3 linked regions of the Oryctolagus cuniculus genome follow. The protein of the gene in region 2 purifies or fractionates together with the protein of the main gene of each other region. This does not show direct contact. Links are inferred from orthologs where the notes say so. Each region holds a gene or a part of one and is shown on either strand. Other genes may lie near its edges.

Region 1 (3,651 bases), about 64 Mb from region 2:
TTCCTTTATTCTGTATAAAGCTGTCTGTTACTATGCCAACAACCCATGACTGTACACGTCACAGTCACTGAAGTTTTCATGGTGCTGGACTCAGGATCTTCAAGGAAGGTGTATTCACTCTACAAATTAAATGGCTTGAGCTCTCAGAATATAGCTAAGATTGAGTTAAGCTCAGTCACTACTTTACAAGTATTTCCAGTATTATTGAAAAACAAAACTGAAGACCTACAATGCAAGGTTTGTTTATCTTTTTCAGGTGATTCAAACGTGAAACAGATTCAGTTTTGTTTTTAGGGGCATAAGACAACAGAAATTTATTCTATAAAGCTCTGGAGGCCCAAGTCCACAGCGAGTCTTACACGAATAATATAAAGGTGGTGGCAGAGCTAGATCCTTCTGGCAACTGGGTGCTATGTAGTGTTTTTATTCTTATCCCTAGTATCATGTCTTCATTTAATGGTGTCTATGGACAACTTCCTCTAGTGGTAATTATTTTCTACAGGGAAATGTGATTCACTGTTTATAATAGTTTAGGAAGGTGATAGGCAAGGTATATCTTTGAACAAAATCTTTTTTAGGGAAATGGAGGTAAGAGATGATGGTTTTAACAAAATATAATTAGACACATACTCAATAACCTTGCCCCCAAAAGCAGTTAATAGTCAGAGATTACTCTAGGAAAATTAGTTATTTAAAATTACATAAATCAAAGAAATCCAGGTTAGATTCCCCAAATTAAGATATCAAGGTTATTACCTGCTCCTTGACTAAAACTGAGCAAAACTACACTATCACAAAAGAAAGGAACATAACCATGATTAAAAGACAGGCTCACCTGTGCTTTCGGATGTGTCTGTTGCGAGGAATGCTGAGATTGCTGTTTCTGCTGAAGCTGAGCAAGTTGCTGCCTTTGCATTTGAACTAACTGCTGTTGATGTGTCTGAAACTGCTCTTCTGTGATACCCCCTGTTACTGGTAAAGGACATTAATTTCAGAAATAAATATGTTTTAAAGTATTTTTAACAACTCTAGTAGAAAATGACAAACACTGCATAATTGACATGAAAAATAATGAAATACACATTATCAGCAAAGAACCCAAGAGACATGACAAATCTTTCATTTGTTATAAGCTTTCATATACTGATATCCAAGATGTCCTTACTATCACATGCTTTGGGGGCTGGTGTTATGGCGCAGTGGACGAGTCACTGCCTTTGACATCAGTGTCCCATAGGAGCACCAGTTCAAGTCCTGGCTGCTCCCCTTCTGGTCCAGCCACCTGCTAATGCACATGGGAAAGCAGCAGCAGATGGCCCAACTGCTTGGACCCTTGCCACCTACATGGGAGACCCAGATGGAGTTCCAGGATCCTGGTTTCAGCCTGGCCAAGTCTGTCTGTTGTGGCCATTTGAGGACTGAGGTAGCAGATGAGATATTTCTGTCTTTCATTCTACCTTTCAAATAAATGAATACACAAATCTTAAAAAAATAATTGCATGCTTAAAAAAGTTTCTGTATATGGTTTTATTGTACCATAAAGTACTACCATGAGGATTTTGTCATTCATTCAGACTTGATATCTTTGAGATTGCTCTTAATTCTGTATATTACAGTGACCACATGAGAAAAACATTGATTAAAATAAATAATATTATTAGGTTATAGCCTTAATAATAAAACAGGACCGCTGGTTTTCATGACAGTGAAAACACTTTTCTGATTACAAATTGGAGAGCAAAGATGTTCACTTAATATAACCATAGGCCATAGTTTAAGCCAAGTCAATGCCTGAAACAAATCCTATCTGTAAAAATATGAACTAGAATTCAGAAAAGTTTCATACAATTAAATATGCAATGCATACAACAACTATGTTGTTACCAAGGGCTTTAAAAGTTAATGGGAGGTAGAGGGTAGACATATGAACCAGAAGTTACGATGTGGTTTAAAACTCCCATGTCATATACATCAGAGTGTGTGGGTTCAAGATCCAGCTTCCCTCCTGACTCTAGCTTCTTAATAATGTGGACTTCAGAAGAAAACAGTGATGGCTCAAGTGACAGGATTCTTGACACCCACAGAGGAGACCTGCATTGAGTCTATGCCTCCTGGATCTGGCTCCAGTTGGGGAGCTATTGCAGTAATTTGAGGAGTGAACTAGCCAATGGGAGAACTTTAGAGAGAGAGTTCTCTCAAGTAAAAAAAGTTTTAAATAAAAATAACACATCTAAAATTTTCAATTAAAAGATCAGCTGGCCGGCGCCGCGGCTCACTAGGCTAATCCTCCGCCTTGCGGCGCCAGCACACCAGGTTCTAGTCCCGGTCGGGGCGCTGGATTCTGTCCCGGTTGCCCCTCTTCCAGGCCAGCTCTCTGCTGTGGCCAGGGAGTGCAGTGGAGGATGGCCCAAGTCCTTGGGCCCTGCACCCCATGGGAGACCAGGAGAAGTACCTGGCTCCTGCCGTCGGATCAGCGCGGTGTGCCGGCAGCAGCGCGCTGGCCGCGGCGGCCATTGGAGGGTGAACCAACGGCAAAAGGAAGACCTGTCTCTCTGTCTCTCTCTCACTGTCCACTCTGCCTGTCAAAAAATAAAATAAATAAATAAATTTAAAAAAAAAAGATCAGCTAATAATAGTTGTAATATGGAGAATTTCTCTTAAATATAAACAAAATTTATTTATCAATGTTTAAGTAGTCCACTGATAAGCTAATTACATAGAAGTACACTGTTAGAGTTAGGCAACAGTGAAACACTCCAGAGTAATTTTGTTCTATTTTTCTTTACCGTCTCCTTTCCTCTCTCCCAGCTACTTCACCCAATACATATTTATTGCCAACTATAATACAGAGGACTATGCCAAGAGTCCCAGTGAATACAGGAAAAAGTAAATCAAGAGGAAAATCCTGCAGTAGCTATGAAGCAAAGATACATGTAAAAACAATACCAAGTAATTTGTGTCAATCTCTACATGCAATGGAAGAATGCAATCTATATGACCTAAGGGAATTTATCCTAACTTAAGCTATTTGATTTCCCCAAATTTTTATATTTACTAGTCACAAATTAAAAAAAAAGTGATGATAAATTAGACATCTAACAAGTTATGTTTAGTATAGTCTATTTTCTGTGAAGTGTTGATTAACCCTCATAGATGAATAAAGCTTTATATATACTTCCATTTTTGCTCCACAACATTAAATTTGTATTACTATGACGGAAAAACAGTTCTTAATTTTCAGAAGTGTCAAAAAATATGGGGCTACTGTCTGCTGACTTTGATACCAAAAATTTGATCCCTGATCCCATTTCTGGCGGAGAACCACTGACACAAACTTTATTCTCTAACATGGATATACTTTTAAAACTCGTTTTCATTTTTTCTCTTCCCCAACAGCTCAAGTTCTGTATGTTATATTTATTCTTGACATGCAGCTCTTTCATTACTATAAAGGTATTTTGTGCTGAAAACAAGAAAATTTCTAGAGAATTGTTCAGCATTATTTCAAATCCTTTGACAAAAATAGCAAATAGTAATCATGGCACAAAACTGGAACACACACTAGAATATCCTTTCTGACTCCTTTATCATTGTGAGATGAAAACAAAGTGGTAAGAAATGTATGGTTTTACTGAATTGCTGTTTTCAGAG
Region 2 (3,651 bases):
TAGTTATGGCTACCTTACAGATATTCTCTGTATTTTTAAGCAGACTGAATATGATTCATCAAAACATAAAGAATACAAATACACAAAAGTAGTAAATGAAAACTATGACTATCAAGCAACATGTGAATACTTACTGTGGATAGGACAGGGAACCAAGAGTGTTAAATTCCAAAACTGTTTGGCATCAAAATAAACACATCTTTTAATACCATTTTTCCATGAAGTCTGTGAAGTACCCTCATATGAGGAAGCCCAGCAGGGATGCCAAGTGGCCTGAGCACCCAGCAAAGGTACAGCAGGTGCAGTCACGTGCACACTTACTTGCTCTTCCGACCACTGCGCGAGTCGGCGGCTGATGAGCTGGCATTCTGTGTTAATGTTGTCATGAGTGCTGACGACGATGAATAGCCAGCTGTCTCCCTGGGCATTGAAAATTCTTTTCCCAGCTGAAAGTCATTATTCTTAAAAGCTTCATAACTGGCCTTTAAACTTGACGTTCTTCGTCCCTCTTTCATCTTCAATAGACATGCATTGATAGCATTAATATTATGTAAATGCATGGACTTTCAAGCTTTATAAGGTTCACTATCATTTTGGTTAATTCAGTATTTATTTTGCTTAAATTATTTTTTTTCGGTATTGGAATTTAAGCTATTTTATGGCAAGATTAAAATTAGTTTTTACACAGGTAGTAATTACCACATGGGTAACTTCTTAATTTGGAATTGAGATAAACTGTTCTGAGTAAACAGGACAACCTGTACCACTGCTAAAGAGAAAGCCTTGAACTGACAGAAAGAGCAAAGAATGACCCCCGCACGTACTGTGACTACAGTCAAGACATGGGCAACAGGAGTGATTACCAGATGAAGGGTCTGCATGATACATCTGTTCTGTACCATTCATTATCAACCAGGGGACTCCTACCTACTAGTCATTAAATAAAATGTCAGGTATCAATACAACGTTAAAATGAAATTATACAATGTCAGAAAACTACTGCTCATATCTAGTTCTTTCTACAAGGATCTGCCAATGATTGAAACAAACATAACATTTTATCTCTAAAACCTTTTATTTCTTACCTGAGCTGTAGCTTGCACTGCTTGTGCAGCTGCCATAGTAATTGCCCCCGCACCAGTTCCTGAGGATAATGAGCCGATGTTATAGGATGCCAGAGGCTGGGAGGAATTCACATTGAAAGCATTGTTGGAAGAGGCTGTGGAATTATTATTTCGACAACCTATGTAGAAATATAGAAAAAATGGTTGCAGACCATAACACATTAGTGAGTTTAAAATACATTATTTCCTAGCATAGATACAGTCATTAAACTTAAATTTTTGATGTACTATGAATTGAGTCAAATGAATAATGTATTATATTTTTCCTTCTTCTTTTTCCCAGGTAGACAATACACAGGTAAACAAACTGTGGTTTTTGAAGCCTAAACGTTTTCATTTCCCTTCAGTCTAACACACAAAAAAGCTCAATTAATCAAATAATCATCATTAAGGAAATAAACTTACCTAATGTGTTCTCCTTAGAGGCATCTGATGTAAGGGTGGATAGAAGAGCTTCAGATTTAAACTTCTTTTCAGGAATATGATCTGCTGTTGTATGGTGAGATGTTGGATTATATTTCCTTTCTGAACAAAAAATAAAAAATTCACATGTATAAATTTTAGAGAACTATGGACAAGGCATAATATTTCCAACCAGTTACAAACCAGTGAAGTTATAACCTGAGTTCTTCATGAAATTCAGACCATCACGTTTTCTCAGAAGAGAGGACAAGCAGAACTCTGTGTCACACGTAAGCACAGACATCTCAGACACTTTAAACACTTGCAGCAAAGGACTGAAGACAATCAATCCATGATGCCCCATGGCTTCACATAAAACACGAGGGGAATTCTGTTTTCAAAACATTATCTACTTTTGGAATAGTCTTCAATACCCTTTTTTCTATCAAACTGATTTGTCAAAAAAAAAAAGTATCATTACAGTCAGTCAACTGTCTAATCAGCCACCTGACAATTCCTTTAATCACTAACTCAGAGAGCACTTGAGATGTATTATATACCACACCTTCGGCTAAGCACCGAGAAGTCCAGGATGAAAAAGACACAAACTCCCACAAAATAGTTTACGGTCTGGCTCTGCTGTATCACTCCCTAGAGAGACTCAGACAGCTGGAGGCAGGCAGGGAGTATATGCTGCTGTTACTACCATACATTCTCCCTGCTATGAATTTCAGCATAAACAGTCGACCTGTTGCCAAACCAAACATGCTTTTCCCAAATGAAAAAGATACATCTGCCTGCAATTGAAAAGAAAAAAAATTCTTTCACAAAAATAAAAGGGAAAGGTATTTATTTCTCATTGAGTTATGCAGAGCTAATAACAGAGAATATCCAGGTGGTATAATGATTTTTTAATGGCACTTAAAACTTAACCGCACTCAACCAAACTTACTTTCCACTGGGGTATGTGAATGAGCGTGGTGATTGTTCACTGGCTGTGAAGGAGTATCTAATTCCAAAGATCCTAGAAAAAGAGGCACAGAGATACGCCAACATTAAATGTCACCACAGAAATCAACAAACTACAGGAAGTACACTCCCTGAGGCAGAAGACTGGCAAGCTCTGATGTCCATGCCCAGACCGAGTTAGTTAGACATGTCAGAGGGTCAGCTTTGCCAGTTCTACTCAGAGCTCTCCTCTCTAAACAATGAGAAATACATTTCTCCATATTCACCTTAAGCACAATATAGCTCATGGCATGCTAATATCTAATGTCGAATTAGGGAATTCAACAAAGTGAGTGCAAGAGAAATGGATGAATGGACATTATAAGCCCAGAACTGGCAAGATCTAAAAGACTCAGCCTACTTTAATTGTGTTGAAGAACTTTTAATGGGAGATCCTAAGTTCTAGGTGATAAGGTCATTGCTATATGGAAAAAAAAAAAAAACCTTGATCATTAAAATGACATATGATAGTAAAGACTTCCTAAAATAATTTAGGGATTTTGCTTGCAAAAAGTGAGAAATAGAATCTCTAACACCAGGCTTAAAATACTTGCAAAGACATTTTCTGGGTTTATTATTGATCCCTTGAGATGAAATTATGGCAGGGCACAGGGTGGAATGGTTTTTGTAACTTGGTCCAATTTAGTTTCATGTGTCTGTGTCCTTAGGATGCTTTATTAACCTTCCTGCAGTACTGAATAGGCATGAATCATCATATTCACAGCTATCATCAGTATTAAAAAAAAAATGAAAGCAGCTACAGAACACTTCATTTTGTCCCCAAATACTTATTAACCTCAGACAGGATTCCTCCAAGATAAAAGCACCACAAATAAATCAGATAATTATCTAAAGTGTTGGATCTACTTTTGCATTAAAAAATGTAACTAGCAAGAGGGATTTGTAACTGGCTTCTCTAGCTGACTAGTGAGTATATGAAGAGACACGTAGCCTAGCACTATAAAAAAACAAGATACATAATCTTGCTATTGAAAATCATCAAGGAAAAAAACCTTATAAATGCTTTAATATAAATTCTAGAAGAAATTATTCATAATATTTATTTGGTTCAATTAGTACTTAATGGGTTCCTACCCTAGGCCTAGCATCATACTGT
Region 3 (4,269 bases), on a different chromosome or scaffold from region 2:
GTGAAGGGTTTGAGCCTCTTTATAGATGAAGCTGCTTGCAGCCTGTGAAGAGGCAGTGACAAGTGGTTGCAGTAATCGAGGGGAGAACGACAGTGGGCTGGCCTGGCTGGTGGAAATCATCTACTAAGCAGAGCAGACAGACTGGAGATGTATTTAGGCTTAGATGCTTGCCTGAATGAGCATCGATTAGCTCGTTCAATACCTGTCTCACCAGATAAAAGAAACGGATGACCTATCTAAATGTAGTTGGTACAATGCATCACGTCTTAGCCATGAATAAGCATTTTAAAAAATTGCAGGATCCTTCCCCTGGTGGGAGTTCTGGCGTGCAGAGGCCAGCTGTTTCGGCCTTTGCTGACGCCAGGCAAGGACACGTCCCTGCCTCTCGCTGGACACCTGGGAAAGGCATTGGCCCGTTACCTCCCCGCTGAGTCAAGTGTTTCCTGGTTCAGAGAGGAAGTGGCGTCATTCATGCCTCACTCCTGGCTTCCGGCTTTGATTTTGTAACCTCTGGCCTTTTTTGATCATTGGAATTGTATATCTAAGTCGGCTTGTGACCTGGCGAGGTGGTCACGGGGCTCTCCTGTCTGCCCGCCTGTTGACTGCTTGCTTTATCAATATTGGGGTTCCCAGTTGTGAGGCAGTGGCCGAGGGTGGCATCTGTGGGGAGAACCTGCCAGAGGCCTGCACGCAGGCCCGAGTCTGCCGGTGAACCGCTCTCCCTGCTGAGAAGCCAAACGCCGCTCCTCTGTGTGACTGGCGGCTGAGCCCTCAACTTGCCCTTGACCTCCACGAAGAACTGCGCGCCGTGAGGCTCCCTCCTTGCCGAAGTTCGGATATGAGTTCGTTTTCCTTTGCCAAGGGACCTGCTGGTGATTGGGAAATGCCTGTGTCTGGGGTTAACAATGGTTTCTAAGTGAATAAACGGGCCATTTAATTCTGTAACAAAAAATTAAAAAAAAAAAATTGCAGGAGCCTATTAATTTGTTTGATTCACTGGTTGACCCTACACAAAGTGGAGTACAATTTTATTCAACAAATGTTGGTTGAAAATGCTTTTTTTATGGAAAATCTTTAAAAATCCGTAAATTCACTGCAGTGCAAGGTCAGGAATTACTGCTCGTTGACACTTTATCCTATTTCCATACTTTATCCCATTTCCAGCCTCTTTCCTGAGCCCCTTCCCGCCCCAGGTTCCCACCGCGCCTCGGCGCCTGGTCACACCCCTGGGCCCGCCCCCCGACGCCTGGCTCTCCCGCTCCCTCCGCCCACCCTGCAAGCTCCGCCCCCTGGAGTCCCGCAACCCAACTCCTGCCCTCCTTCCGTCGCTTTCCGCCCAACCCCGCCCCCATGGCCACCTTCGATTGGCTAAACTGGCGGAGCCGCGGCGGGGATGCAGCGAAGCCGCATTATGATTGGCTGAAAGGTAGGCCTCCCTCCTCGTGATTGGCTGCTAAGGGGAGCCAGCAAGTGTGGCTGAGCTCTCGGGTGTGTGGACGCCGCTTTGTTGCCGGAGGGGGGTGGCGGTGGAAGTTAAGGGGGTCGGGGGCCAGCGCGTGTGGCGGCCGCTGTAGTCACTTCGCCCGGCACCTTTTCGCCCAGGAATCAAGCCGACGGCAGCCATGAGCGGCGGCGTGTACGGGGGAGGTGAGTGAAGGCGGCCCGGCCAGAGAGCGCGCCTTTTTGGCGTGTGGGGTTTGTAACCGCCGCCCCCAGCCCTCCCCTACCCGGCGGTCCCTTCCGGTCTCCCCCTCTCGGGACCCCGGCCTCCCCGCCCCATCCCCGCCCCGCGCTCTGCCCGCCCCCGGAGCCCACCCGGCTCAGCGTGCGCCTCGGGCGCCGGAGGAGCTGGGCTTTTGGGGTCGCGCGTGCTGCTTCCAGCGGGCCGGCCCGCGGCGCCCCGGCTGGAGTGTCTCGCCTCGGGGTGGCAGCCCCGCGTGTGTCTGCAAAATTCGCCCGTGTGGGGCTTGCGTCTGCGTTTAACCTGGGAGGCCCCCAGCAGTTGGCGAGCGCGGACGGAGGGTGTCCGCAACGTCCCATAGAAGGCAGAGCGGCCGCGAGAGGTGGACCGAGGGGAGAGGGGGCGGCCGCCTCGGTCTGCGCCCTGCGCTCGCGCTGCCTCACGTTCCTCAGCAGCTCCTGCCCATTCTTGACCGTGGAGTCTGCGGAGTTACTCGTGGGAGGGCCTGGTTGGGATGAATCTAGAGACACATGCAATTTAAGGACGCCCGGAAGCTTTGCCTGAGGTCCCGGGCGTCTGTTCTCTGGCTTTTCTTGAGTAGACTGTGTTGTGGTACAAAGATTACCACGGGCTGTGGGCATCGTCAAACTTCTCAGCGCCTTGGCCTTGGGCAGTTTACTTTCCCCGACTTTGCGCCGCTCGCTCGTGGGATGGGAATTCCTTAGCCAACGAGGGTGGCTGCCAAGATGGACCGACATGAAGCTACACCTGCTGCTCCAATTGAAGTCCGTGGAGCGGCAATATCAGCATCACCTGCAAGCTGTTTAGAAAGAATCTCAAGGCCCACCCTCCGTTCTACAGAGTCAGGGCTTCCATTTTTGAAAGATGCCCCAGACAATTGGAGCACTCACTGTTGGATTCACATTTTGGGGTGTGTTTGAGTTAGAGACCCAAAAGACAAATCCGAAATACAGTCAGCCTTGAGTAACTGTGGGCTCCACATCTGTGGATCCCACTAACTGTGGACCAGAAGTATTCAGAAAAAATTGCATCTGTATTGAACATGTGCAGATTTTGTTTCTTGTTATTCCCTAAAGTATAACAGCTGTTTACATAGTGTTTACATTGTACTAGGGATTATAAGTAACATAGAGAACACCTACTTAAAGTATCCAGTAGTCTGTGCCACAGGTTATAGGCAAATGCTACATCGGTTTATATAGTCGACTTGAGTATCCAAGGATTTTGGTGTATGGGGGTAGGGTCCTGTAACCAATCCGCTGCAAACACTGAGGGACTATGTGCTTGCTACTGCTACTGTTTTAGTAAGGATTCTCTTTCTGAAGAGGATGGCATTCCGCAGGTAAAGGGATAGGTAACTTTTCTAAGTTCTTAGTATTTTTGGTGGTGTAGTTTCAGAGTCTTCTCTGAGGCAGCATGCTGAGCCTGTTGCCTCCTCCTTCCTATTTTGTGTCCTTGATTTTCTTATTTTTACTTTGGATCTTGTTAATTCACCTCTTCCCCATCTGAAGATTCAGTCTTGACTCCAGAGAAACTGAGTCTAGACTCTTAGGAGCTCCAGGTTCATTGAATCAAGGATCCGGAGGCTGTCCAGTATTCCTTACAAGGCATTGTTTAGTATGACTGGTAGGAATGGGATAATACTAATGCTAGCAGCTAGCATTTATTAGGTGCGTACTGGAGACCAAGAGTATTCCAAAGGTTTTATGTGCATTATTTTTAATCCATGCAGTAACTCCTATAATCTACAACCACCATGTAAGATGGTATTATTATCCCTGTGTTACTGAAGAAAATGATGTAAAGATAGGAAAGGTTAAAAATCAGCCCAAAGTCATAATTATCTAGGGAGTTGAGAGCAAAAATCTCTGAAATAAAGGGCATTTCAGCCAAGCCCTTCCCTACTCCTTTAAAAAAGCCATTTCTTTGGTTATTTCTCTGTGTGTCATGTTTCAGTTATACAACCATAGTATTACCATGTATGACTTAGGTGTTCAGAATAAAACCACTTCTTGCTAGCTTATTCAGAGGAGTGTAAGGATTATTCAGAAAGTTTATGGAAAATGGAGTTGAATGTTTATTTTAGTGTGAACATTTTTGGAATTTAATCAAGAAAGCTTATGAAAAAACATGGATTTCAAAAATTTTTGCACCAAAATACTTAGTTTTTAATTCATTTTCCATGAACTTTTTGAAGTACTCTGATGTTTTAAAGTCTTTCATGTAGAAAGTACTTAGAATTCACAAAAGTAAGTATGATTTTGTGTTTATAGTGGATCATATTTTTCCAAGGAATTTAGTGTTAAAAGCAACCAAACCATTCACTTAAAAATGTTGAGTAATTGGGCCGGTGCTGTGGCATAGTGAGTAAAGCCACCGCCTGCAGTGCCGGCATCCCATGTGGGTGCCGGTTCGAGTCCTGGCTGCTCCATTTCTGATCCAGCTCTCTGCTGTGGCCTGGGAAAGCAGGAGCTTCTTCCAGGTTTCTGACATGGGTGCAGGGGCCCAAGGACTTGGGCCATCTTCTACTGCTTTCTCAGGCCATAGCAGAGAGCTGGATAGGAAGT

The links.
Region 1: the proteins of ING3 (region 2) and EPC2 purify together in Homo sapiens (affinity purification with mass spectrometry; 3 studies listed by BioGRID and IntAct, with this or other methods). This does not show direct contact. The link is inferred for Oryctolagus cuniculus from reciprocal best matches to the Homo sapiens genes ING3 and EPC2.
Region 3: the proteins of ING3 (region 2) and ACTL6A purify together in Homo sapiens (affinity purification with western blotting; 3 studies listed by BioGRID and IntAct, with this or other methods). This does not show direct contact. The link is inferred for Oryctolagus cuniculus from reciprocal best matches to the Homo sapiens genes ING3 and ACTL6A.

The regions. Positions count from the first base shown.
Region 1 is NC_091434.1:93,444,134-93,447,784, forward strand, and holds part of EPC2 (enhancer of polycomb homolog 2), read right to left. Parts: intron 973-3,651; coding exon 836-972; intron 1-835. UniProt on the Homo sapiens protein: May play a role in transcription or DNA repair.
Region 2 is NC_091434.1:156,954,783-156,958,433, reverse strand, and holds part of ING3 (inhibitor of growth protein 3), read right to left. Parts: intron 2,551-3,651; coding exon 2,479-2,550; intron 1,650-2,478; coding exon 1,530-1,649; intron 1,244-1,529; coding exon 1,086-1,243; intron 516-1,085; coding exon 322-515; intron 1-321. UniProt on the Homo sapiens protein: Component of the NuA4 histone acetyltransferase (HAT) complex which is involved in transcriptional activation of select genes principally by acetylation of nucleosomal histones H4 and H2A.
Region 3 is NC_091435.1:100,246,972-100,251,240, reverse strand, and holds the start of ACTL6A (actin-like protein 6A), read left to right. Parts: upstream 1-1,436; 5' UTR 1,437-1,622; coding exon 1,623-1,647; intron 1,648-4,269.